Linked DNA regions of Macaca mulatta. The protein of the gene in region 6 purifies or fractionates together with the protein of the main gene of each other region. This does not show direct contact. Links are inferred from orthologs where the notes say so. Each region holds a gene or a part of one and is shown on either strand. Other genes may lie near its edges.

Region 1 (3,500 bases), on a different chromosome or scaffold from region 6:
TCACCCTCACCTAACTGGGAGTTGGGCATTGTGGCCACCGGCCCTAATGTACAGATGAGGAAGCTGAGACTCAGAGAGACCAAGTGTCTGCCATACGTGAGGGAGGGCACATACTGGTAAGAGGCAGTGCTGGGACGGCTCAAGCTAGGCACTGTCACGTCCCCCGGTGCCTTTTGCCTGGGTCCCATGGCCTTCCTGCTTCCTTGGCACCTCTGGAGTGGCAGGAGGAGCACCCCGTCCGTGCTGTAGCCACTCCTGCGACTGCTCTGTAGCTGCACTGCACCTCAAGTCCTGCTTTGAGGCGAAACCCTCTCTCCCCTCCCGACTCCCACATGCCGAGATGCCTCAATAGCCAGATTCTCAATGTTCCTTTTCCCTTTATAAAGCAGGTGTTCTGGACCCCGAACTGTGGCCTCTGAGGAGATCCTCAGATGAGCTTCGGGTTGAGTGGGTGAGGGGTTCCAACCACCTGAAATGGTAGGAATAAGGCTAGGTACATTCTGGGGGAGGTCTAAAGGGGGCTCTGTGAGAAGTCCTGCCTTGAGTCGTCTATGGGGCCTCTCCCGTCTGTCCTGAGAGGACCCCCTTAGGTTCCAGTTTCCTCCTCCCAGCCTGGGAGAAGTTGACCTGGGGTCTGTGTGGGGTTGGAGGGGACCCTGCCCGCCCCACTGAGAGGTGAGTGACGGCTCTTGACCTTTCTCTTGCAGATTTCCAAGCCCTGGATTCCCTCAAGTCCAGCCCCTTCCTCAGAGAATGGAGGCCCTGCCAGCCCAGGCCTCCCCGCAGAAGCCTCAGGCTCAGGCCCTGGCTCTCCCCATCTTCACTCACCCGATAAGAGTTCTCCCTGCCACTTGCAGCTTCTGGAAGCCCAGAGTCCTGATGCTTCCCAGGCTTCTCCTTGCCCCGCTGTGACTCCATCAGCTCCAAGTGCAGCCCTGCCTGAGGAGGGCTCCCGCCACACCCCCAGCCCCGGGCTCCCTGCTGAGGGGGCTCCAGAGGCCCCCAGACCCAGCAGCCCTCCCCCTGAGGTCTCGGAGCCCCACAGCCTGGATCAGCCCCCTGCCACCTCGCCCCGGCCCCTGATCGAGGTGGGTGAGTTGCTTGATCTCACTCGGACGTTTCCATCTGGCGGGGAGGAGGAGGCCAAGGGTGACGCACACCTCCGCCCCACCAGCCTGGTTCAGCGCCGATTCTCTGAAGGTGTGCTCCAGTCACCCAGCCAGGACCAGGAGAAGCTGGGGGGCTCGCTGGCTGCCCTGCCCCAAGGCCAGGGGAGCCAGTTGGCCCTGGATTGTCCCTTTGGAGCAGAGTCCAACTGGAGCTTATCACAGTCCTTCGAATGGACCTTCCCCACGCGGCCCTCGGGTCTGGGCGTGTGGCGGCTGGACTCCCCGCCTCCCTCCCCCATCACTGAAGCCAGTGAGGCTGCCGAGGCTGCTGAGGCTGGCAACTTGGCTGTTTCCAGCAGGGAAGAAGGAGTGTCTCAGCAGGGGCAAGGGACCGGGTCAGCTCCAAGTGGGTCAGGAAGGCCTAGTTCCTGGGTGCAAGGGGATGATCCAAGCATGTCCCTCCCCGAGAAGGGCGATGGGGAGAGTCAACCTCAATTCCCAGCTGTTCCCCTTGAGCCCCTACCTACAACTGAGGGCTCACCTGGGTTACCTTTGCAGCAGGCAGAGGAGAGATACGAGTCGCAGGAGCCCTTGGCTGGACAGGAGTCCCCTCTCCCCCTGGCTACCAGGGAGGCAGCCCTGCCCATCCTGGAGCCGGTCCTGGGGCAGGAGCAGCCAGCACCCCCTGACCAGCCCTGTGTTCTCTTTGCTGATACCCCTGAGCCTGGGCAGGCACTGCCTATCGAGGAGGAGGCCGTGACCCTAGCCCGGGCCGAGACCACCCAACCCAAGACAGAGGCTCAAGACTTGTGTAGGGCGTCCCCCGAGCCTCCGGGCCCTGAAAGCAGCTCCCGCTGGCTGGACGACCTCCTGGCTTCACCACCACCTAGTGGTGGCGGTGCAAGACGGGGAGCTGGATCTGAGCTGAAGGACGCACAGTCCCCAAGTACCTGCTCTGAGGTGAGAAGGGGCATAGGGAGAGTGGGACTTCTGGGGACAGAGGCCAGGGCTTGGGTGGGCTTCATTCTTTGAACATGGATTTTACGTGTTAAGAGCTTGGGCTGTGGTAGCGAGCAAGGCAGCTGTGGACCTGCAGATCGTAGCTCTGCAGAACCGCACAGGACGGTGTGTGGGGTTTCGTGTGAGGCTGTATCCCAGCTTCAGCATTCGCTAGCTGATTGGTCTTGGGAAGAATGTGCCTTAACTGCTAAGCTTCAGAGTGCTTTCATGATAGTAGCGCCGGCCTCTTAGAGTTATATTGTGGGTAAACAAGAGGGGGAAAGCTCTCAGTACAGTGTGTGGCAGGTGCTGAGTATTCAGTCTCTCATTATGGGAATATTGTTCAAGGCAAAATAGTGTAGCCATTTAGAGCGTGGGCTCCTGGGTTGGTCTCCTGGCTCTGCTTTCCTTTGCCCAGGTGTGACCTTGAAAGAGTGACGTTTCTGCCCTCTGCCTCAGTTTCCACATCTGTAAAATGCGGATAAGATGAGCTCTACCTCCAAGGGTGTTGGCAAGGGTTCAATGAGCTGTAATGTCTAAAGTGCTAAGAATAGTGCCTGGTTCATCCTAAGTGCTTAATACGTGTTGGCTTTTACAAACGTTATTAACATTGAGCTCCAGACCTGCTTTGTAGACAGGCAGCTGGGCCTCAGAGGAGGCGAGCCTTGTGCAGTTACCCAGCAAGTTGGTGGCTGGGCCCGGGCCAGCGCCGTTTCCCGGCCCAGTGCCCTTTCTCCTACCAGGCTGCCTCTGAATTTAAGGGCCGGGGGCCAGGTGGCTTTTGAAATTTATTTCTCAAGCCGGGCCTGGGCTGTAAGGGGCGGGGCTGCAGGAAAGGAGGAGCCAGGGGGCCTCTGGAGGTTAGGGGGCGGGGAGGAGGAGGAGCAGGAAGGGGTTAAGCTGACTCCTGCAGTAGGTGTGTCTGTCCCGGGATGTGGGTGACTCAACTGGCTCCTGGGCGGGGCTGCCCAAGCTGCAGCTGCTCCGAAGGGAGCAGGGCCAGGGTGAGGGAGAGCCAGCGCTGCCAGAGCCGTCGGACAGGTCCCAGCGTGGGGAGCAGCCCAGCCCTATCCCTGCGCCCGGCTGGCCGCACCCAGCAGCCCCGAGGCGGGCGGGGGGCGGAGGGCCATGGCCCAGCCTGGGGACGGGGAGGCCAGCATGTCTGTCCTGGAGCGGCTGCTGGCCAACGCTGCGCTGAGGGATGAGGCTGGCCGGCTCCGAAGCCCTGAGCCCAGGGCTCTCCCGCCCACGAGGGTGAGTCAGGGAGCGTGAGGTGGGGGTTGGGGTGCAAGAAGCCCTGGCTGGGATTTTCCCCTGTGCTAGAAGCTGCCCCTCCTGTCTTTCCTGGGCCGAGGTGAGGGCTGAGAGGTCTTCCTGGGGAGGATTGAGCAG
Region 2 (3,500 bases), on a different chromosome or scaffold from region 6:
GGTGGGAGTTACAGAACTACATAAATTTGCCAAAATTCAAAGAACTATACACCTAAAAGGGAAGACTTCTACTGTACAAAGTATACCTCATAAATATCCAACCAAAAACCTCTGCTCTCATTTTAGTTTTCCTACCACTTATTTTTAAAAAGAGAAGCTTTAGCCAGGCCCAGTGGCTCACACCTACAATCCCAGCACTCTGGGAGGCCGAGGCAGATGGATCACCTGACATCAGGAGTTCAAGCCTGGCCAACATGATGGAACCCTGTCTCTACTAAAAATACAAAAATTAGCTGGGTGCAGTGGCACGCGTCTCTAATCCCAGCTACTCGGGAGGTTGAGGCAGGAGAATCGCTTGAACTCCGGAGGTAGAGGTTGCAGTGAGCCCAGATCGCACCACTGCACTCCAGCCTGGGCAACAGAGCAAGACCCCATGTCAAATAAAAAAAAAAAAAAAAAGCTTCAGGCCAGGCACAGTGGCTCACACCATAATCCCAGAACTTTCAGAGACCGAGGCGGGAGTTTAAGAACAGATTGAGTAACATGGTGAAACTCTGTCTGTACAAAAAATACAAAAGGCTGGGCATAGTGGTATGCACCTGTGGTCCCAGCTACTCAGGAGGCTGAAGTGAGAGAATCACTTGAGCCCGCGAGGTCAAGGCTGCAGTGAGCCAAGATCGTGCCACTGCACTCCAGCCTGGGTAAGAGTTAAGACCCTGTCTGTGGGGTCAGGGAAGAGACACTTCATAGGAAACCTATCCACTTACCTGTTTTTAAATCTATCTAGTGCAGCAATCCCAAAATAATACATTTTGGATCCAAAAGGCTTGCGTAAGGCTTCAAGAACATATCGTAGAGCCAGACCTAGTGCCATGTAAGTGACCAGTCCTTTCTCAATTATACCACCAAACAGGCAGGCTGTTATATGTAACTCTTTATCAGGATACTGGGGAAAAAAACGATATTCTTCAAACAAGTTCCTTAGCATACAGTTAAACACTTCTCGTTCCCTCTTTATAGTAGAGTCTTTAAATCTCTGCAGCATTTCTAATACCTGGAAAAGCAAGACAAAAAAACAACGCACACATAAAGGAAACAATTACTAAGTGCCTTTCTCAAATATCCTTGACAAAAGACTGTTAAGTAGAATATTTACCAAAAGAGCTTGAGACAAATATTAAGGTTTCAAAACACACATTGCTATATCAGAGCACTTTGAGCTGGATTTCTAAAAACACTGAAAAGGACATTTATTTAAGACTGGCTTAAACAATAAATAATCGGATCATCCTAGACACTCACCTCATCAACAGACATGGTTGGATGTGGTGGATGATTATATATTCGCTGAAAATAGCTGTTTGCTTCATCATCTATCTCTTTACTAAAGTGCTGGTTTGCCTCTGGCCACACCTGAGACAAGTCCGCTGTTGGAAACAAAAAAGGCATCAGTGGGTATTTAAGCCCTTCTTCCACTTCCCCATAAAACACAGACAGCCAGAGACTATTGCAGTTCTAACTTTAAGGGAAATATAAAAAAACTGAAAAGGGTATTAAGTGGTCAAGTTTCAGTATTAACGTGTTCTAGGGTAGACATAAAAGATCCTTAACAAAGTGCCTTCCATAATTCTACATTAGTATTATCTTCATCAGGACTCATTACAACACAAAAGTTAACTTGGTTCAAACTCATAATGCACTTACCCTTAATACAACCTCATTAAGTTAACAAATCTTTATCACTTTATAATAAAAATCACATTTAACATATAATTATCATGCATGTGCATGAAAGACTGATGTAAACACAAAGCATGCTACAAAACATAACATTCAGACAAGACTTTCACACTAACATTATCAAGTCAGCTGGAATACTTTCAAATCTCGTGTCATGACTACACAGTCCCAATGACAAGGACTTCAGTCAATTATACCTATGGATTTATAAAGATGACTTCTATGAATTTAGTTAGGATAAAAAATCACTAAGGAGGTGAAACAAAAATTGGAAACAGAAATCTGAAATTTTCCTTGTCACTCCTGACTTGCTTTAAAAAAAACTCAACACATGTTTAGGTTAAGTACAAGAGTTACATTCATTTATCTACCACATATTAATTTCTCTTTATCTTATCTATTTCTTACTTTTAGGACAAACACCCTCAGGATGCAGCCTCTTACTAACCATGACTTTGTTCTGGGAATCCACAGCAAAAGTGGATTGATATCTCTAACTTTTATTTTAATAATTCAAATTTGTGAATTTATTCCCACTGGTCTAGAAGGCACATCAACATATGGCCCTACTAACACAAATGAGACATACAACTAAACATTTTTATCAGTCACACTTCACAATCACAGACAACACTACCACTTACAAGGTTTCATCTTACTCTGCTGGAATGTAGGCTGATTCAGTCCAGAGGTGCCCAATTTCCTCTGTACAAAAGGGTCGTTATTCACTGCAGGGAGTCCAAGAGCACCAGTTCCTATACCAGTCAGGCTGCCTGTGCCAAGACCACCTACTAGAGAGAACGAAGGCAGCCACAAATCCTATCATTATTCATATTCTTGATTTTATTAACATCTCAGATGTATTAATAAGACTGACTTTTAAAATAGTCATAATAACTCTTACTTTAAAAGTCAGAGCCTTTGTTAATTCCCTTATTACATCTATTCAATTTTACAGAGCCTACAAACTAGGCAGTAACAACAGATAATCCAAATTTCTTCAGCATCTGGAATTATTTATATTCTTGATAATGTGCAAAAAATTAAGTATACATTCTCGAAGCACATACTCCCATACCCAAGGTAGTTAAAATAAGGAGGTGGCTAGCTTTTCTCAATTATTCAAATCAGATAATTTCATGATACCATCTTTTAAAGTTACCATGAGTCTCAAAACTTCTTTATTCCTCTCAACTCTGACAAACGGAATCTTACAGTAATTAGAGCTTTGCTAGGAAGGCCTTAGTAAGTTCAGTAACGTTTATTTAAATGAATTAATCATAAAAGCCAGAAGCACAGAGCAGCAATGTTAACTAGATCAGAGTCAATGATAACACTGAAGTCCTTAGGTTTTAGTGCCCGAACTTACAGTGTCAACATAACAGGTACAGGGGGCTAAGAAGATGTAGGTAACAAACAACCACAACCACCAAAAAAATGTAGCTTTTACTTCAATGTGAAGTTACATGCCACGGTATCTGGGAAAAAAACTGAAAACGTGGCCAGGTGCGGTGGCTCACGTCTGTAATTCCAGCACTTTGGGGGGCCAAGGTGGGTGGATCACCTGAGGTCAGGAATTTGAGACGAGCCTGGCCAACATGGTGAAACCCTGTCTCTACTAAAAATACAAAAAACTAGCAAGCCATGGTGGCCGGTGCCTGTAATCCCAGCTACTCAGGAGGTGAGGCAGGAGAATCGCTTAAACCTGGGAGGCTGAGGTTGCAGTGAGCCGAAATAGCGCCACTGCACTCCAGCCTGGG
Region 3 (3,500 bases), on a different chromosome or scaffold from region 6:
ATCCACAGTAGCAATAAGTTTATTTTTAGGTGTTGCAAATTTCTGGAATCCGATTTTTAAAAGGGAAAGAGACACGGATATACTTTTTGGGGGCCTAAGCATACTTTTTGTATTCAAAACAGCAGTAATCTGGTAAGAGTAAATATCACCCTGATGCATTTCTTACTTTTCTCACATAGGATACCAACTCTCCAGAATAGTACTGCGACACGCTGAGCAGATCCGGGCTATTTGCCTGATTAATACGAAGAAGGGGCAGATCCAGGGCAGAGGCAAGCTGGAAGAAAAATAAGGCATATCTGTTTCTCTGTTTCAAAAAGAGTCCTAGAAATCTTCTTTTCCAGAAAATGTAACATACAACAAAACATTTGGGTTTTACCCAACAGAGGGCAACAACCACTGAGTCTCATCAGTATCACTAATAGTTACTGACAATACAGTTTTTGAAAAACCCTAGTTAACTGTAATGGCAGTGGTTCTTAAACTGTGCTCCCTGGACCGCTAGCTTCAGCATGACCTGGGAACTTGTTAGACATGCAAATTATTGGGTGCCACTCCACACTGACTTAGTCGGACACCCTGGGGGTGGGGCCCAGCAATCTGTGTTACAACCAGCCCCGCAGGTGATTCTGATGCATGCTCAAGTTTGAGAGCCACCGTGCCACAGAAGATAGCTACTCCTGTGTGGAAATCAAGACATTCTGACTGACGCACTACTGAATCCGTCCAATCTAATATGCCGTCAAGCGTAAGATGTGCCATTATTGGCCGGGCGCGGTGGCTCATGCCTGTAATCCCAACACTTTGGGAGGCAGAGGCGGGTGGATCACAAGGTCAGGAGATTGAGACCATCCTGGCTAACACAGTGAAACCCCGTCTCTACTAAAAAAGACAAAAAAATTAGCCGGGTGTGGTGGCAGGCGCCTGTAGTCCCAGCTACTGGGGAGGCTGAGTCGAGATGGCGCCACTGCACTCCAGCCTGGGCGACTGAGCGAGACTCTGTCTCAAAAAAAAAAGAAGTGCCATTATTTTATATGTCACTCAGAAAAAAATTAAATGCTGACAACTAAACTATGATATGCCATCAACGATAAAACCTACCCCCAGTTACAGGAATGTTAAAATATGAAAAAAGTTGTAGTAGCCAGGCGCATGGTGCACGCCTATAAAGCAAGCTACTTGGGAGGCTAAGGCAGGAGGATCGCTTGAGCCTGGGAGTTTGAGATACAGCCTGCGCAACACAGTAAAACCCCATCCCTCTCACCCCCACCTCCCAAAAAATGGTGCATCTCAGAATTGATATATATGGTACATGGTAGCTCTGTCAGAAGACATTGAGTAGACTGGGCTTGGTGATTCACACCTGTAATCCCAGCACTTTGGGAGGCCAAGGCAGGAGGAATATTTGAGGTTAGGAATTCAAGACCAGCCTGGCCAACATGGTAAAACCCCATCTCTACTAAAAATAGTAAAAATTAACTGGACATGGTGGTGAACGCCTATAATTTCAACTACTTGGGAGGCTGAGGCAAGAGAATTGCTGGAAACTGGTAGGCAGAGCTGCACTCCCGCCTGGGAAACAAAGCAAGATTCCATCTCTAAATAAATAAATAAATAAATAAATAAAAGAAGACACTGAGTAGATTCTTTGTTCATTTACCACGAAGTGAAATTACTATGAGAGCACGGGCTGCGCCTATTTTTCACCAATATTCCCTGTTATTGTAGATATTAATACTAGTTTGTAGCAGAGGCTCAGTAATTTTTTGAATGAATAAGTAAAAGGACTTAATTCATGCCTAGGGAATAAAGGACACAAAAGACTCACATTTTTAGTACACAGATAAAACTACTCTTCACTTAAAAATAGCATTCTTGAAGATATTCCAACTTATAAAACAGTATTCCTGAAGACATTCCAACTTATATTAATTAAAACTTTAAATATTTCTGGCATCTTTGAAACTATGATCTCATGGAAAAACTGCTAACAATTTCAGTCTATAAAAATATTGAAATTATTTACCTTCCTAAAAGGATAAAATCTTGGGCTGAATTAATGAACGAGGTATGAATGAAGGCCAACTCTTTCCTAGTAACAGAGAATCTCACTGTGTTTTGCTTACCTTTAGGAAGGTAGCTCTGAGTTTAGTAACCATGGATGGATTTACCCTTATGCTTTCTTGCATGATAGATGTGAAACTGTAAAAAGAAGAGAGATGGTAAGAAGATGTTCCCAGGGCCTTTCATCTATAGCAAATGTCAGCACTGCCTACATTACCTGTCAATCAACTGCCAAGCAAAAGAAAGGTCCCCAACGATCTGCATCGTGATCAGAACCTCCTCTTTAATGTTAATGGTTCTGATCATCTGATGAAGAAACTTTCGAGTATCGGCAAGAAACTGACATACTTGCAGATTGGATTCCAACTGGTGGAATTCTTGAACCTGTGTTACAGAAATACACTTAATTTAAAAACCCTGAATGGACCCTGTGGTGCTCATTTGTTCTTGAAAACACTTCAAATAAAGCACACTACTTCTGACGATTTCAGTATTAATTATATCTCTAAAAATATATAATCATATCAATTAGATAGGGTTATAGATTATGAGTAAAAATGATGTTTTGAATAATGGAGTTGGCCACGTGCGGTGGCTCATGCCTGTAATCCCAGCACTCTGGGAGGCTGAGGCAGGTGGATCACCTGAGGTCAGGAGTTCGAGACCAGCCTGGTTAACATGGTGAAACCCCATCTCTACTAAAAATACAAAATTAGCTGGGCGTGGTGGCAGGCGCCTATAGTCCCAGCTACCCGGGAAGCTGAGGCAAGAGAATCGCTGGAACCCAGGAGGTGGAGGTTGCAGTGAGCTGAGATGGCGCCACTGCACTCCAGCCTGGGTGACAGAACTAGATTGAATCTCAAAAAAAAAAAAAAAAAAGAGTTTATGGTTATTTTTCTGCTGCTTTTAGTTATCATTTTAAATCTAGTTAAATACACAATTAAAATTTAAGAGTGGTGAGGTATAATTTTTTTCGTACAATCATTTATGAGTTGAAAGAAAAACAATAAACTACTTTTTCAGAAAAGAAAATATACCACTTACAAGCATATGATCATTATATAATTATTATTATTTTTTTTATGTATTCCTTTCTGGTTTTTTTCCCCAAGGCACACACTTTTTTACAACCCTAAAAATGGTATACACATGCAATTTTGTTTTTGCTTTTACCTCCTTATCACAATTTGCCCAATGCTTCTATGTTATTTTTATAATTATGTTTCTAAGATTACATGTTTCCTCAAGTTAAAATATTGTAATTTTTGCTACCATTCTCTTCATACTAGTCATTTATTTCCCCAAATTTAGGACACTATCTGTTACAGGAAACATATTAATTCACATTGCTTTTACTTCTGATGAAATAGTCTCTCAGATATATTTACAGGAACAGACTGCTGGGTGGGTCATAAGGTGTGATTCACGATCCAAGA
Region 4 (3,982 bases), on a different chromosome or scaffold from region 6:
TGGCTGGCCTGGCCCCAGTCAACACCCTAGGCACTCCCCTACCTCCAGGCTTCTGCACAAGCTGTTCCACTTCTGCAGTCCATAACACCAACCTCTTCCCACTGGCTGTAGAGAAAACTAAACTCTCTGACTCCCATCCCTCCTCACAGCCAAAGGCATCAGCCCCTCCTCCTATGATCATGGTTCTCCCCTTCCAGACAAGTGCCTATGTTCACAAAGACTTTCAGGGCATAAAATATCCCCTTAAGGATGTGGCTGCTAGCCTCATCTTTGATACAGTGTCTTGAAAGATTTGTTGAAGGAACAAATGATAAATAAATGAATGAATGCACATATAAAATATCCCTGTGAGGCCGGGCACGGTGGCTCACGCCTGTAATCCCAGCACTTTGGGAGGCCGAGGCGGGAGGATCACCTGAGGTCAGGAGTTTGAGACCAGCCTGGCCAACATGGTGAAACCCTGTCTCTACTAAAAATACAAAAATTAGCCAGGCAAAATGGCAGGCCTCTGTAATCCCAGCTGCTCCAGAGGCTGAGGCAGGAGAATAGCTTGAACCCAGGAGGCGGAGGTTGCAGTGAGCCGAGATAACGCCATTGCACTCTAGCCTGGGCTACAGAGCGAGACTCCATCTCAAAAAACAAAAGAAAACAAAACAAACAAACAAACAAAAAACAGCCCGCAGGACCTCCATGGGGGCAGGGGCAGCTTCTAGCCTCTGAACCTAGGGTGAGAACTGTATCCCCAACATCCAGAATCAGTACTAGACTGCAGGGCAAGCTGACTGCTCCATAGCTGGAAAATAACTCTAAGAGGACAGATCCTGAGTTGCCCTAGGCCACACCATTTCTACAGTGCTCCTGACATAGGTGCTCAGTACATGCTGGTTGATGGAGCCAGCCAGTTCATATGCCCAGCTGAAATATATGCCCAGACACTGCATTGAAACTCTGCACTTCTCTTGGTTAATTGCACCCTTGACAAGCATGCAAATCCTTTAAAAGGATCCCCCTGCCAGAACCACCAAGATCTGGGCTTGTGTCTGTACAAATTCCTCAGGAACTGTCCCTGGCTGCAACAGGAAGGAAGGAGGCGCCAGAGTCTGGGGGTACACACGCATGTTTGTCCAGAAACCTTGATGGATTAGCAGAGGGAAAGCCAGGCCAAGGGAGAAGCCTTGTCCAAATGTCCTGGTTACTCATTAGCCAAACCTCAGAACTTCTCTCTGCAAGGGGGGATCAGAGGGGCAATTAACCCATTTGGAAGAAAGGTTAAGCTAAATAGCTCTCTAATCCTGCAGTTTCAAAGACAGCAAGTAGGGTTTCTGGAATCTTTAGATACTGTAAGGCAAGCACAGGGGATGGGGCATGGGAAAGGAGAGGCCATAGACTGAGGGAGGCACTGATACTTATAGAGCCCCTACCTGTTTCATACCCTTCATTCCGATCCATCCTGCCAGTCTCCTAGAAGAGGGAGGATGCAGACCCTCCTAGGCCAAGCTCATTTTGCCCAGAAGGTCCCTATCTGGACTCAGATAAGTGTTCTGCCCAAGGTCACAAAGAAGGTGCAAAGAAAGTGTTTTTCTTTGTGCAACAGGTACAGTCTTTTCCCTTCCAAAAAATAATGGCTGCTCCTGGCTACAGAAAGTTCAGTGCCGGCGGGCAGGAAGCCCTGGCCACCTAGGCATCGCGCGGCGGAGGTCACACGCCTGCTTCGGGACTGGACGAAGAGCAGGGTTTTAAGGCGCGGCGCCCCCACTCCCAGGCAACTGTGTGCCAGGAGGGCGTGAAAAGGTCTGGCTCTGGTGGGGGTCAACGAGCCGCTTCCCATCCCGGGAGCCCCACCCGTGAGACCGGGTGGGCCGCGCCGCCATCGGGGCGGGGATCACGCGGGCCTGCCTGGGAACAGGGGGACTGAGGCTTAATCTCATCAGGGCGCCTCCGCCCTGGAAAGACGAGCGGAGCGGGGCGCAGGCCAGGCCGGGAGGACGCGTCCAGAGCCTCCGCGTCCGAGGGGCCCCGCGCGCTGCCCTTCTCACGCCCCCCGAACCACCCCGCCGTCCTCCGGGCTCCCCTCGACCCAGACTCCATCTCGCTCGCCGCCCTAGCTTCCCACTGTCCACCTCCGGGGCCTCCAACCCGCACAGATGTCCAGACCCTAACAGCTTCAGGCTGAGTAACCCAGATCTCCAGCGATCCCTCAGCTCCCGGCCACCGGATCTCTCTGAATCCATTCGCAAGGCTCAGGCTAGCGTGGGAGGAGATTGATCCTCTCGCTCCCAGTTCTGAATCACCCTCTGCCGTCACCCCTGACTGGGGATCCAGTGGGACCCCAGGCCTCCAGCGCCCGATCCCCTGCAGGGATCGACTCCCAAGTCGCCAACCGGGTAGCACGTGATCCATTGGCTGCCCTATGCGGGATCTTCCCGCGGGATCCACTCTCAAGTCTCGGGAGACGGATTCCCCGGCTCCCAAACCGGGATCCTCCCTCCCCGCAGACCCGGAGTCTGGGGAAATCCTCCCGGTCCCCGCCTCTTCCCCAGCCAACTTTGCCAACTTTTCTCCCGGGGCCTCGGCCGGGCAGAAACTTGGCGGCCCTCGCCCGCCGCCGTCACCCCCAGCTACCTCGCCGGCCGGGGACAGGAGGTGACCAGCCGGCCCCCATTCCCCACAGCCGCTGCGCAACCTACCGTGGAGCCACCTCCAGCCCGCGCCGCGCCGCCACCTGCCCGCAGCCCGCAGCACCTGCCCGCTGAGCCCGCAGCCCCGCGCAGCCTAGCCTGCTGGGGGCGGGGCCTCGGGTGGGGACGCGCCCCCGTCACCATGGGAACTGCGGCCGGCCGCGCCTGCGCGGAGGGGAACAGAGCCTGCAGGACCCGAGGCGGCAGTGGCGCCTGGGCCTGAGACCTCTCCGGCGGGTCAGAGGTCACGACTCGCTGGGACACCCCTGCCGGAAGCGCTCCCGCCCCTCGAGGCCCGACCCGGCTCTGTCCAACTGGGAACTTTGCTCCCGGTCCCCTCCCGCGTCCCCTGGATGTTCCCCAGTCACCAGCCAGGATTCCCCGCCACCGGCACCGACCCGCTGCCCAGCCGGCGACCCCGAAAGCCTAATGCAACCCAGAAATTAAGGAGGTGCTCCATAAATGTGGGCCCATTGACTTGCCTGGGCTGCTGGTGCCGGCCCGGGGGGCGGGCAAGGTCTGTGCGCGGTGCTGGCGCCTCCTCGCGCCAAGCAAGGGGACTGCACCCGAGAGTTCCCTGGGGCGCCTACTGTGTGCGAATCCTCCTGCCATTGTGTTGTGGATTTGGGTTGTGGGGTAATGGGTATAGGAACTTGTGACAAGTTGAGAGAATCGTAGGAAGTCGCCTCTGAAAGAAAATACCTGTTCTGTTATCCTTTACTCATTTCATTCAGCAGATCTTTATTAAGCACCTATTGTATACCGGGTCCTGGAGACCCAGTGGTGGGCAGCTGGCAAAATCCAGGCTGTTGTGCAGCTTACAGATATTGAAACAAATAATTTCGCGAGTATATCGAATTGACTCTGTGACATGTGCTCCTATGGGAAATGTACAGAGCATAAATAACTGGAGGACCTAAAATCAATGTGCCTTTATTATAAGCAAGATAGACCTCAATAAAGCTGAAAAAGAAAAGGATATCACAGGCTGTGCGCGGTGGCTTGTAATCCCAGCATTTTGGGAGACCGAGGCGGGTGGATCACCTGAGGTCATGAGTTTGAGACCAGCATGGCCAAAATTATGAAACCCCATCACTACTAAAAATTACAAAAATTAGCTGGGCGTGGTGGCGGATGCCTGTGATCCCAGCTACTCGGGAGGCTGAGGCAGGAGAATGGCTTGAACCCGGGACGTGGAGATTGCAGTGAGCCAAGATCGCACCACTGCACTCCAGCCTGGGCGACAGAGCAAGACTCCGTCTCAAAAAAAAAGAAAAAGAAAGAAAGAAAAAGAGAAAAGAAAA
Region 5 (3,500 bases), on a different chromosome or scaffold from region 6:
CCCTCAGTATTTGGTTTGCTTCAACTCAGTATGCTTCTCTCTCCCAAATCACTCCCAGTTTCTGAAGCTATGCTATGCATTCACGATGGTGACCACTTATCACTGCTCCAGGTTACACAATAAGGACCTAGGAAGAATCCGGGAGGAGAGCTGTCTGACACAGGCTCTAACTGCACACAGCTATGTGTGACACACCTTGAAGGGCAGAACACTTGGAAAGGGAGATGCAGTTCCTGTAAAACCAACCATCAAAGGGAAGGGGGCCGCCCTGTGTAGCCGGAGCTGTGGTTCCAGAAACAGCCCATGGCAAAGAAGGAAGAGCTACAGTGGGAAGGGAAAACTGGCCCCTGACTAGGGGAGCTATGACATACTTCCCCCTTGTAAGTCCCCAATGGCAGGACATTGCATTCTCTCTCTATTACTAATCATACTTTACACTGACACAGCATCTGGACTTTTAAAGGTGTTTCCTCATTCAACAGCTCCTTGGGAACCCCCTCTTTCTCTCCCGGGTTGGGTGGCCTGTGTCTAAGAGCTTTCACTCTCCCAGGCTTCTGACAACAGTTCCAACCATGGTCCCTGTGGTGGCTGCAGCCTTGTGTACACTGGGTTACTGTGGTGAATGAGCCTGCTAAGGGTGCCCACAGGTCAGGAGTGAGCCTCCCTGACTCTACCAACCGGCTGGCAGTATCACTCGAGACCGTGGGATGGTCACACGAGACACAGGCAACAACCGAAAAAGGGGAGCCCTAAGGGGAGTTTCCTCCAGAGCAGGGAAGCCCAGGCTGAGTTTTCATCCCTGTTCTCTGCAACTGCACAAGAAGCCACTGCGCGCTCAACAATCGGCCTGCCTCCAGGGGCTCCCGGTCTGCGGAAACAGGAGGTGGACAGTGCCTGCGGTGAGCTGTCCCTCTGTCTGACAAGCACAGCAGTTCACCGCATGCACCTGCACACACCTGCCTGTCCCAGTGCACACAATGGGTTTGCTGCCAAGTGAGTTCCACCTAGTTCCACATCCTCCTGCCATGTTCCCTCAGGGCCTTGTCCGGGACAGAAAACGTCACGCAGCCAGCCACACAGAAAATGGAAGGGGGGCGGGGATTGCTTGCCCACGCTGACCTCCAGACTGAAGCAGGTCTGGCCTCCCAGCCCATGGCTCCCGGCGTCCCCGTCTGCGCGGCGGTGCAGCTCCCGTGCAGTTCGGAGGCGCAGGCTCTCCCGCTCGTCCCCTCGGGCCGGCCCCAGCTGCCACTCTAGCTGCTCTCTCAGTCTGGACTGTTAGGTGCACGGGAGGGATTTTTGTTTTTTTAAAATTTTAAACAAACAAACAAAAAAAACAAAGGACAAGAAGGTGGAGGCAGGGAGAGGGGATAAAGAAAACAAAAATGGATAAGGGAGACGACTGAGAAAACGACCAAAGAACAGCACAAATAGAAACACCAGCTTAAAGACAGCGGTGGACGAAAGTGAAGAGAACAGACCCAAGATGAGAATGAGCAAAAGGGCGGGTGGACACATCCGAAAAGCAAAAAGAGAAAGTGGGGGTGCAAAACACTGGTTACGGGGCACATGCGATGGCGATGCGTGAATCCGGAACTCAACCGCAAGCACGCTACCCGTGAAGGAAACGGAAAACGAGGCTCTTCCTTCCTTACTTGTGGGTCGAGCAGCCAAAGCCACAGTCCAGGGCGGCAGCTGGGCCATGCACCCAGGCGAGGCTAGGACAGCAGTCCTCGGAGGCCCTCCGCGCCCTCCCCAGCGGCGGCAGGGCGGCACGAGCCAGCAGCGCTTTTCCACCAAAACCATCCTTCTCAGCACCGCGCTCCTCGCCCGCTTTGGCTGATCCTCCAGCGGGAATGGGGGCCTGGGCTGCCTAGGGCCTTGGACTGCACTGTGTCCCTTGAAACACACCCAGGAAGGGACGTGCTTGGTAGCGAGTCTGCTAATTATCCTGACTGTGACATGCGTTTGTCTTAGCCTCCTCACGGCTTCTTCAGCGTGTGGCTGGTTGGTTGAGATACCAAGAGAGGAGCAAGGCCGGCCTGCGTCGAGCCCTATCGCTTCCACTGGGCTTAGCCTCGTGTCTGGGAGGGCCTCTAAACCATGAGCCGTGGCGCAGTTAAAAATAAGACAGGAAAAAGGAAAAAGAAACAAGGCAATACAAGAAAACTTAAAAAAAAAAAACAAAAAACAAAAAAAACGGAGCCCAACCAAGAGAGAGGATCCGGTTGCCCCGGAGGCTTTAGTACAATGCAGGTTTGAAATCATAACCAAGCAGCCGTGAGCAGCGTGAGCCCGAGTGCAGCAATGCCAGCGAGAAGGAGGAAGAGCAAGGCGGAGCAGGGAGGCGAAGCCACGAGCCCCCTTACCTGCAAGTCTGGGCCCAGCTCCTTCCCCAGGTTCCCGATGGGGGAGTCCCGGGACACGGAAGTCACAGTGGAGAGGAAGCTAGAGGACTCTGTGAGGTGGGGCAAGGGGGATAGGCCATCCCCAATGCGGTTCACCTGCTCCAGGAAGGCCTGAAGCTCTTTCTTGAAAGACTTCATCTTGGCGTTGATGGTCCCCAGCAGGTGAGGCTCCTGCTGGTCCCCCTCGCCCCGCTCCTCTTCACCCTGGAGGCCAGGCCCCGGCGAGGGTGCACCCCCCTGCAGCCCCGCGTCACGGAGGAAGCTGTCGGTGTCCGCGATGAGGTGCTCCACCGTCCGCTCTAGCCGCTGGGCCTCGTGTTTTAGGGTCACTAGGCACTCGGAGTCCTCCCGGGCCTTCAGGAGCTCCGTGGCGCACGGCTCGCTGGCCTCCGATGGCTTCCCGCTCCCGAAGCCCGACGTCTTCTCGAACATCTCCTCCGAGTCACTCTCCCCGCCAACAGGGCCTTCCCGCTTGGGCTGGGGCAGGCGGCTCTCCTCCCCTTCACTCTCCTTCTTGCCTGCATCGCTCTCGACATCGCTGTCCCGGGGACTGGGGGCACGCAGCCCCAGGTGCGCTGCCAGGTCGCAGCGCTGGATGTTGGACAGCAGCGCATGGTTCTCGTGCTGCAGTTTGAGCACCTTGCCGCTGAGCTCGCTGATCTGCAGCCTGGCTGACTTCAGCTCCTCCTGCAGGGGTGCCCCTCCCCCGGCACCAGGACTCGCACCCTCCCCGAGCCAGCCCGGCTCCCGGGGAGGCTCAAACTTAAACTTGCTGAGCTCGTGGGTCAGCTGCCGGTTGTGGTCTTCGATCTCGGAGATGGACCTCCGGAGCAGCTCCGCTTCCTCTTCCACGAACTGCAGGTGGCGGCGGAGCTCAGTGGAGGACTCCAGGGAGTCGCCGAAGGGTGAGGTAGGAATGCTGGGTGCGTGGTCCCGGCCCAGGCCCTCCCGCTCCTGCTGGCCACGCATGTCCTCCATCTCTGCCTTGAGGCCACGGTTCTCCACCTCCAGCTCCACGATCTTCCGGCCCAAGATGTTGGCTTCCTCCTCCACCAGCTTCAGCCGCAGCTTCAGCTCGGCCTCCCGGGTGCT
Region 6 (3,963 bases):
CTGGCTAATTTTTGTATTTTTAGTAGAGACAGGGTTTCACTGTGGTCTTGAGCTCCTGACCTCGTGATCCGCCCGACTCAGCCTCCCAACGTGCTTGGATTACAGGCGTGAGCCACCACACCCGGCTGCCATTCTTACACAATAAAAGACTAGTCTATTCTGTGCAATCATTATTTCAGACTGTTCTAAATTATTTTTGATAAATCTTCCATCTCACAAGCAAATCACCTTACGAACACTTGCATATATTTTCAGTAATGCATTCCAGACTAGAACAGACAGGAAACTGATGACTTTCATGGGATAGAAACTCATGATGGCCTGATAGAACTAAGTTTGTCAATTAGATCTAGTATTTAGTTCACCATCATCAAACTTTCAAATATATATATTTAAAAAAGGAACAGATAATTAATGTTACCAATTCATTTTCTTTAGGAATCCCAATGTGTCAAAACTTGTGTTTTAAAACTAAAAGAAAAGATGATTTAGCCAAAATGTCATATTTTCATATTATATTCTCAATGCTTTCAAAGCTCAACAGTGATTTTAAAAAGAAATTAAACAACATGCTTTCATTGAATTTTTAAAAATCTATACAATTCAAGCTAACGAAATATTTTATTGTACATAATAAAAGTGGTGTTTTTCTAAAAAAAAAAAAAAAAAATTTCCAGGCCCAGACGTCTGTAGGAGTATGTGAGGAAAGGATTCCACTCAAGTATAATAAGCAATACTCTATTGAATGAAACCATAACTCCGCTTCACTCCCTATGGTAAATACTAACATTCGCCACAGGCTTGAAATTCCTGTAGCATCAGTAGAACTATTTTTTAAAATATTACAAACATGCTTATGACGCACAGGAGGATGAAAAAATTTAGACTGTAACCACACACCATATGTAATCCCAGCTTTTCTAATTTACAACCAGTTAAGAATTACAATATCCAAAGAAAGTATTTTAAAATATATATGCTCACTGGTAAGTGATTTTCTACTCAAATAAATAGGAAAATTTGCATTTTAATGTCACATTGAATTTCAGTACTTTTCAATCCAAGAAAAAAAAATAAACCGAGACATGGTTATGAGTTAAGGATTATATATATTACAATTTGCCTTGTTATAATACATTTGTGGCTTTATGATAAAAATAACTCAGGGACATATGGAATTCAAGCTGATTTGCGTAACTGTCACAAGAAAAAAAGCATTAAATGCATTTCTGAAATAAGTATTTTCATTTAATTTCAGAATCTCAAAACAGCATTAGACCTCGCCTTGTTTAAAAAAAATTTAGTTCAACACTAAGCTAGCTAAATAACCTTCTTGAAAGGTTTAAACACAATTGATATAGAAAATGCTTTCCCTCTAATCTCAACCTTACATAAATGGAACAGGTGAGGAAGAAAAGGTAGACAATTTCTTTAGCAGCATATATGGCTAAATCCATCAACCACCTTAAACTAGAATGTCCATTATTGACCCCATTAAAAAGAACTGGGGAAATATCAAAAATTACCCATTTCATAAACCAAAAGACAACAATTTTAGGGTTACAGTTAGTAAAATATTTTTGAGACACTTCAAAAACTTTTAACCATAAACTAGAAGAATCATCTCTTCTTCATTGTTAAGAAAGAAAGGCCTAACAGAAAGACATTTAAACTAAACTGATTTTCAATCCTCTTAGAACAAACAAAATGAAAAATAATGGTTGATTAGCTAAGCTTTGTGCTCTAATCAAACTAATTAATTACAGTGATTTTAAATGGCAACAGCCCATCTGACTGGGCAGCTTGACAGTTCAGAATACTTTTGCAATAATTTTTTAACGCAAAGACACTAAAACGATCCGGTCATGCAATGTTCATCTTATGCATTCTGCATCTCTTTGCCAATCTTGTAGCTAAGGATCTTGTTCCAATCAATCTTAGTGCGTGTAACTGGCAACTGTCGACGTAAGGCTTTGAAAGTAGTGTCCGACATTGTCTGATAATTCTCACTGATGGCAGTCTATGAAAAACAATAGTTAGAAGTTTAAAGTAAAGCAAAAGAACAGAACAATTTATAAAGCATATAGATGTTTTCAGAATACATTTTATTTAAGCAGCCCATTTCACTGTTTTTAAACAGTCAAATAAAAAAAACCCAACATTTTGTTAAGGCAGCTAGAAGAAAAAGCCATAATAATTTTGAATAATTAAACTTAATGAAAATTATAAATTAGATGTAATATTTGTGTCCTCGTTTTGAATTTATTTTAGTATGTCAGAACAATTTATGGATTATTATTTTTAAGGAGTAGAAACTTGTCTAATTCACAAATTAAATGCTTAAATTCAAGAGTGTAGTTTAGAAGCTGATAAATAACAAAAAGTAAAGCACAAAATGAAATGTGATCTAAGCAGATTGCACATAATCCAAATGGTAAGACACAGCCTGAATTAAAATTTTCAACCAGAAAAAAATAGCCACTTAAAAAGTCTGGCATTTTTTGACTGATGCAGATTGAGCACCCCTAACTGAAAAATCCGAAGTTTTCAAAACTTGAAACTTTTTGAGCATCAACATGACGCTCAAAGGCAATGCTCACTGGAGCATTGATGCAGATTTCTAATTTTCAGATTACAGAAGCTTGAGTGGTAAATATATAATAAATATTCCAAAATCCAAAAAAAAATCTGAAATCTAAAACACTTTTGGTCCCACACAACTCAGATCAGCGATACTCAATCTGCACTCAGAAATTACAGTTGGCTAAAACCTAGTCTTTTTTTTTTTTGAGATGGAGTCTCGCTCTGTTGCCAGGCCAGAGTGCAATGGCACGATCTCGGCCCACTGCAACCTCTGCCTCCCAGGTTCCAGCGATTCTCCTGCCTCAGCCTCCCAAGTAGAACCCGCCACTACAAGCACATGCCACCACGCTCAGCTGATTTTTGTATAGAGACGGGGTTTCACCATGTTGGCCAGGATGGTCTTGATCTCTTGACCTCGTGATCCACCTGCCTCAACATCGCAAAGTGTTGGGATTACAGGCATGAGCCACCGTGTTCGGCCTAGTCTTAGTATTTTTAAAATACAAAATATTAATGGAATTCAATTTACTTGCCACTCTTTTTGCCTACACTTTAATAAGTCTGCCCTTGTGTTAAAAGTAGACACACAACAAAAAGACTCTTACTGATGCAATGGAAAAATTCAGCCTTTGAATGAAATTCAAATTTCAGTGCTATTAATTCATACGTGAATGTAGCTTATATAATATTTAAAAAATCATACCTGGTATTCATTTTCTGCAGCTTCTACAATCTTTATAAATTCTTTTGCTGTTTGCACTTCATTCTGAATAAAAAAAAATAAAAATAAAAATTGTAATTTAAAACTAAACCACTATTACTTTAAAATATATGTATGGTTAATGTAATGTTACAATAAATAACACAGAAGGAAATTATGACAAAGAACAAATATTGTAAGATCAATTATTCTAAGTCTAAGGGGGAAATAGGTAAAATTATTTTAAAAGTCTACAGAATAAGCTGGTGTCAATGTTTAGCTGGCTAAGGAAAGTGAACTCTCATTGATACACACATTGATGAAAAGTTCAATTTTAAACACTGGACATGCATTCCAATAGACAACCTTTATGGGTAACAAGTTTGGTAAAGATTTCTAATTGATGACTCTTTATCTAAATATTGTTAAATATTTATGAACATTATGTAACAGAACAGTGATACCAAAAAAAAAAAAAAAAAAAACACTAATCAGGAAGAATGTATTTTTCTGGAAATTTTTTTTAACATGCCAATAGATGGGTTTGTTTGCTTTTTCCTAATAGTAAAGTTAACAGAATCTGGATTTAAAAAATGAAACAGTGTTAATGTAAAATTCTCTAACACCTTATACTTTATATATATGGTGTAAAAATATAAAACAATGAAAACCTCCTAAGA
Region 7 (4,015 bases), on a different chromosome or scaffold from region 6:
TCACAAAACAAAAAAGTAAAACCAGAAAATAATAATTTAGGAAGTAGTGCCATTTTCCTTCTGTAGAGATGCTAGTTAGATTAACTTTTCCATTTTAGATCCTTAACTGGTCACTTAGGAAGTGATGGTATTAAAAATTTTACCTCAGTATTTTTAAAATATGTTGTTTTACAATATACATATATTCCTATTGAATGTTATATGTAAACAAATGCATATTTTATCAACTATTGTGGTACTTTTAATACATAAGCAGAAAACAGAAAACAAATTAGATTTACTTCCAGTTTGTGAAAGAACAAGTTACTTTTCCAAAGCAAAATATTTTTAGATATTTAAGAAATTAGGCCGCTGGAATATTTTAACATATTCATTTGTGACTGAGTAGCTATAATAGTAGTAATTGTCCAAATTCAAATCTGCCTGATTTAAAAGATTCTCCCACTCAACCAGATTCCCTGTTTACAGAATTATTTTTAAAGGATCAATTTGTAGTTTGTTATATTCTCAGAACTTTCCCAAAACAAGAAAGGGTGATAATCATTTCTGTAGCAAAGGTTGCAATCAAATGGAGTAAATGGGAGTTTGAAATCCTTTGTTTGTATTTAAAAACAAACTTTATTGAATAATTCACAAGTAACTTTTTTTTTTTGATAATCACCTGTTTAGTGATTTCCATTCCAGAGATGGAAGCACTGACATTAGAAATGGACTGTGGTGCAGAAACTAAGACACAAAAAGTAAAAGAGGAAGAAGTCACATCAAAAAACATCTTTCTGTTTCCCTGATAGTCACATAATTCAGAAGGAAATCAGGGGCCCACAGGGACCTGCACAAAATATGAGGAATCCAAGTTACTGTAAGGGAAGATTTGAACTTGCTTCACATTAATAGTTCAAATCACTGAGAACACACACTAAGTTTAAAAATACAACGGCCACCACTAATCCAGGAACAAAAAATATTTTAAAATATTTAACTAACCATTTTCAATAGATATTTTCAGAAGTCTGTACTTTCCATTTCTGGCTCTGGCAAAGATCTCTTTAACATCTTCACTCGCTGTGGAAAAAGATAAAGAAAGTAAACTTTTTATACTTACATATAAATACTTTCCTATCTATATTGAAAAAATTAATTAGAACACAAAGAAAAAATCTGGAGCATGTAGCATCCTTATTATCAGTATTATAAAACTTTACCGCATAAAATAATGAAGACTGTATACAATTAAGAAATATAAATATTAGCATTTTAAAAGTATGTTAATAATTCTAATCTGTTTTAGCTATATAATTCTGTGCAGAAATAACACTGGGGTGAATATACTGAAGTTACTCAAACCCAATAATGAGCAAATTACAATTTTGAAAAACTTTTATTGCTCCTTTGAAAAATATTGAAAACCTGCTTTCATTCTCTAATTCAGTTTCAAGCTTATGACACTCCTTCATCAATTCACTTTCTGTATTTTCCCGTTAAAAACAACAGTAAATATCAAATATCCTAACTTGATTAAAGAAAAAGGCAGTAAAATGCATTGTCTTAATTCTGGTTATATTTTTCTAACTTGCATTTCTCAAAAGCTAGATTAAAATCATTGAATAAATATGTATTTAATAACTAACGCTTGTGTTCCTATTAAAGCTTCGATTTCGTTCTAATTTCGTTCCTGTGTTGTCTATTAGCAGCAAGAACCACTATGTAAGTAGGTAGTGCTTGCTATAAGGCTCAAGCATGAGAGTCAATAACGACATATTTATGTATCGAAATTAATGCGGATAAATAAAACAACGCTTTTAGATTTGATACTATTTTGCTTCTGCGTGCATGCAGGGGGTATGTGGCGTGGTGTCAAAAATCTTTAAGAACAAAACATACAATTAAGTGTTCATCTGGGAGAAATACTCGCTATTAACAGTAAAAGCTTGAGTTTATACTAGAACTCGTTAAGTGATCGCGAGTAACCCGGGGATATATTATTTGACTCTTGATGAGGTGAGCACCTCCAGGCTGCCCAATTTCAAACCAGGAAATAATGGAGGTCAGATATAACTGCACATTGAACTGTCTGCACGCATTACATGCAACTATACAGATCAGTTTCCCTTGGGGAGTACCTAGGAAAAAGATCAAAACACAAACACGCTACACTCGAGATTTCTCAGAACAACTCTCACTTTCCTATTTGGGGAGAAAGTGCTGGAGAGTTTTGGGAAGCACCCCTACTGATGTGAGAAAGATTCTGGCATGTTTCTTTTCGTAATCAAAGTCCTGTAATATTCTCCTTTGGATCATGAAAAGGAAAACTCGCCTGGCTCTCGACAGCGTAGGGAAGCCCCAGGCGCCTCCACTGTCCCAGCTCTTCCCTACCTGACCAAAAGGGGGAAAGTTGGGCTAATGTCGGGGACGGTGGAAGGCACGCCCCCTTCAACCAGGCCGCCTCGAAAGCCAATTTCCTTCGCTCCCCCGAATTTCGAGTCCATCTGCAATGTGGCGGCAGCAGGAACCGGGCTGGAGGAGGACGCAGGCCGGGAGCGCCCAGGAAGCAGGAGCGCGGAGAGGCGCCGAGGCCCGGCTCGCCCCGCGAGACCGACTTCCGGAGGTCCAGGCCAGACTCCAGCCCTGCCCGTCCTGCAGCCTTCCGGGCTCTTCCGAGCCTCCCGGGAGCCCCTTCCCTGCGGGTCGCGCCGGGCTCTGTTACCTTGGATGCCGGTCTGGTGGGACATGGCGGCGGCCGCTAGTTCCCGGCTCCGGCGCTGAGTGCGGCGAGCGGCCCCGGCCGGCGGCCCCAGGAAGTGGCTGCTCCTCCGCCGGTCCCGGCGCGTCATCCGCCCGCGACCCGGGGCCGCCCCGCCCCGTGAGATTGACTGAGTGCCCGAGCGCCCCGACCGCCCCACCGCCCTTCCTGGCCGTCGGGCTGCAGTACAACCCCCGGCCTTGCGACCTTAGCTCTCTGTTTGGGGTCCTGCTTCTGCTCTTGCCGCCGCCTCTCCCGCTTCTCCCTGGGGGGAAATGCCGCAGAATCTACACAGCTCCGTGCTCCGACGTCTGCCCTCTGAAGATCGCGCCGACGCCGCCATTCGCTGCCTCAGCGAAGGGATGTTTTAAAACAGAAATGATCATTTTACCAAATAGGCATTTTCAGCTTAAAAAAGATGTGCACATTATCTTTCTTGGTTTACTCTTCCTATAATCGATACCGTTTAGTGTAGAAGAGCCTTCTCCTTGCTCCACTGTTTTGAAAGAATATATTATAGACTGCCTTTCATCAAATTTTTCCACGATTTTAAATTGAGTTAATCTCAGACTGTTAACTTTTCTTTTCAGTTGGACACATTTAGAGACTCACTGTATCTTTCTCTTCACTCCAAAAAGAGACAGCCACTAAGAGATTAGCTGATTTGAGTATCCCTCTGTGGTCGATTATACCATTGCAAATCCTGCTCTGCTTTAGGTTGGCAGTTTATTATTTAATCCAATAATTATTCAAAATTCACTTGGACAGATTTGTAAGGTAACAGCAGGTATTACTTTAAAATCTTTTCCATTCCTGCTTTTACAAACATATAGTTCCTGAAAGGTAATGTTAGTTTTTGGGGGAGTTTGGGTTTTTTTGGTACTGCTTCTCTACTGCTACTAGGTGAGAAGCTAGTTATTATTTTTAGGGCCTTGAAGTCACACATATACAAAATTATAATCTAATGAACAAGTAATTTATTCAGGTCAATAATATAAGTGCGAGTTAATCACTATTCAAATACTATACAATGTATTTTTAATGAGTAATTCACAGGCCTGCAATTGTTTTTCTTTACAAGGATCACAGCAAACAAGGTTATGGTCTATTCCCTGTTATCTGAGCTCTGTTTTTCAGACATATTCTTATATTCGGTAATAAACTAAATCTGAGTTTTATGACTTGTATGGATTTAAGAAATGTAGGGAGGAGTTTCATTCTAACCCAATTCTTCCTGACACAATGGTTCGCCCTGATTTACCAGTTTTTTACTAC

The links.
Region 1: the proteins of CAPZA2 (region 6) and TNKS1BP1 purify together in Homo sapiens (affinity purification with mass spectrometry; 4 studies listed by BioGRID and IntAct, counting the BioPlex papers as one, with this or other methods). This does not show direct contact. The link is inferred for Macaca mulatta from reciprocal best matches to the Homo sapiens genes CAPZA2 and TNKS1BP1.
Region 2: the proteins of CAPZA2 (region 6) and CNOT1 purify together in Homo sapiens (affinity purification with mass spectrometry; 3 studies listed by BioGRID and IntAct, counting the BioPlex papers as one, with this or other methods). This does not show direct contact. The link is inferred for Macaca mulatta from reciprocal best matches to the Homo sapiens genes CAPZA2 and CNOT1.
Region 3: the proteins of CAPZA2 (region 6) and WASHC5 purify together in Homo sapiens (affinity purification with mass spectrometry; 3 studies listed by BioGRID and IntAct, counting the BioPlex papers as one, with this or other methods). This does not show direct contact. The link is inferred for Macaca mulatta from reciprocal best matches to the Homo sapiens genes CAPZA2 and WASHC5.
Region 4: the proteins of CAPZA2 (region 6) and KIAA1671 purify together in Homo sapiens (affinity purification with mass spectrometry; 3 studies listed by BioGRID and IntAct, counting the BioPlex papers as one, with this or other methods). This does not show direct contact. The link is inferred for Macaca mulatta from reciprocal best matches to the Homo sapiens genes CAPZA2 and KIAA1671.
Region 5: the proteins of CAPZA2 (region 6) and MTCL1 purify together in Homo sapiens (affinity purification with mass spectrometry; 3 studies listed by BioGRID and IntAct, counting the BioPlex papers as one, with this or other methods). This does not show direct contact. The link is inferred for Macaca mulatta from reciprocal best matches to the Homo sapiens genes CAPZA2 and MTCL1.
Region 7: the proteins of CAPZA2 (region 6) and TWF1 purify together in Homo sapiens (affinity purification with mass spectrometry; 3 studies listed by BioGRID and IntAct, with this or other methods). This does not show direct contact. The link is inferred for Macaca mulatta from reciprocal best matches to the Homo sapiens genes CAPZA2 and TWF1.

The regions. Positions count from the first base shown.
Region 1 is NC_133419.1:16,092,702-16,096,201, forward strand, and holds part of TNKS1BP1 (182 kDa tankyrase-1-binding protein), read left to right. Parts: intron 1-707; coding exon 708-2,069; intron 2,070-3,500.
Region 2 is NC_133425.1:54,167,935-54,171,434, forward strand, and holds part of CNOT1 (CCR4-NOT transcription complex subunit 1), read right to left. Parts: intron 2,532-3,500; coding exon 2,385-2,531; intron 1,428-2,384; coding exon 1,303-1,427; intron 1,055-1,302; coding exon 768-1,054; intron 1-767.
Region 3 is NC_133413.1:135,492,380-135,495,879, forward strand, and holds part of WASHC5 (WASH complex subunit 5), read right to left. Parts: intron 2,449-3,500; coding exon 2,282-2,448; intron 2,203-2,281; coding exon 2,127-2,202; intron 278-2,126; coding exon 167-277; intron 1-166. UniProt on the Homo sapiens protein: Acts as a component of the WASH core complex that functions as a nucleation-promoting factor (NPF) at the surface of endosomes, where it recruits and activates the Arp2/3 complex to induce actin polymerization, playing a key role in the fission of tubules that serve as transport intermediates during endosome sorting.
Region 4 is NC_133415.1:26,385,773-26,389,754, reverse strand, and holds the start of KIAA1671 (uncharacterized protein KIAA1671 homolog), read right to left. Parts: upstream 2,801-3,982; 5' UTR 2,688-2,800; intron 1-2,687.
Region 5 is NC_133423.1:79,818,082-79,821,581, reverse strand, and holds part of MTCL1 (microtubule cross-linking factor 1), read right to left. Parts: coding exon 2,370-3,500; intron 1,276-2,369; coding exon 1,120-1,275; intron 1-1,119. UniProt on the Homo sapiens protein: Microtubule-associated factor involved in the late phase of epithelial polarization and microtubule dynamics regulation.
Region 6 is NC_133408.1:156,451,281-156,455,243, reverse strand, and holds the end of CAPZA2 (F-actin-capping protein subunit alpha-2), read right to left. Parts: intron 3,350-3,963; coding exon 3,287-3,349; intron 2,021-3,286; coding exon 1,880-2,020; 3' UTR 501-1,879; downstream 1-500. UniProt on the Homo sapiens protein: F-actin-capping proteins bind in a Ca(2+)-independent manner to the fast growing ends of actin filaments (barbed end) thereby blocking the exchange of subunits at these ends.
Region 7 is NC_133416.1:50,804,599-50,808,613, forward strand, and holds the start of TWF1 (twinfilin-1), read right to left. Parts: upstream 2,801-4,015; 5' UTR 2,730-2,800; coding exon 2,705-2,729; intron 1,063-2,704; coding exon 985-1,062; intron 1-984. UniProt on the Homo sapiens protein: Actin-binding protein involved in motile and morphological processes. Inhibits actin polymerization, likely by sequestering G-actin. By capping the barbed ends of filaments, it also regulates motility.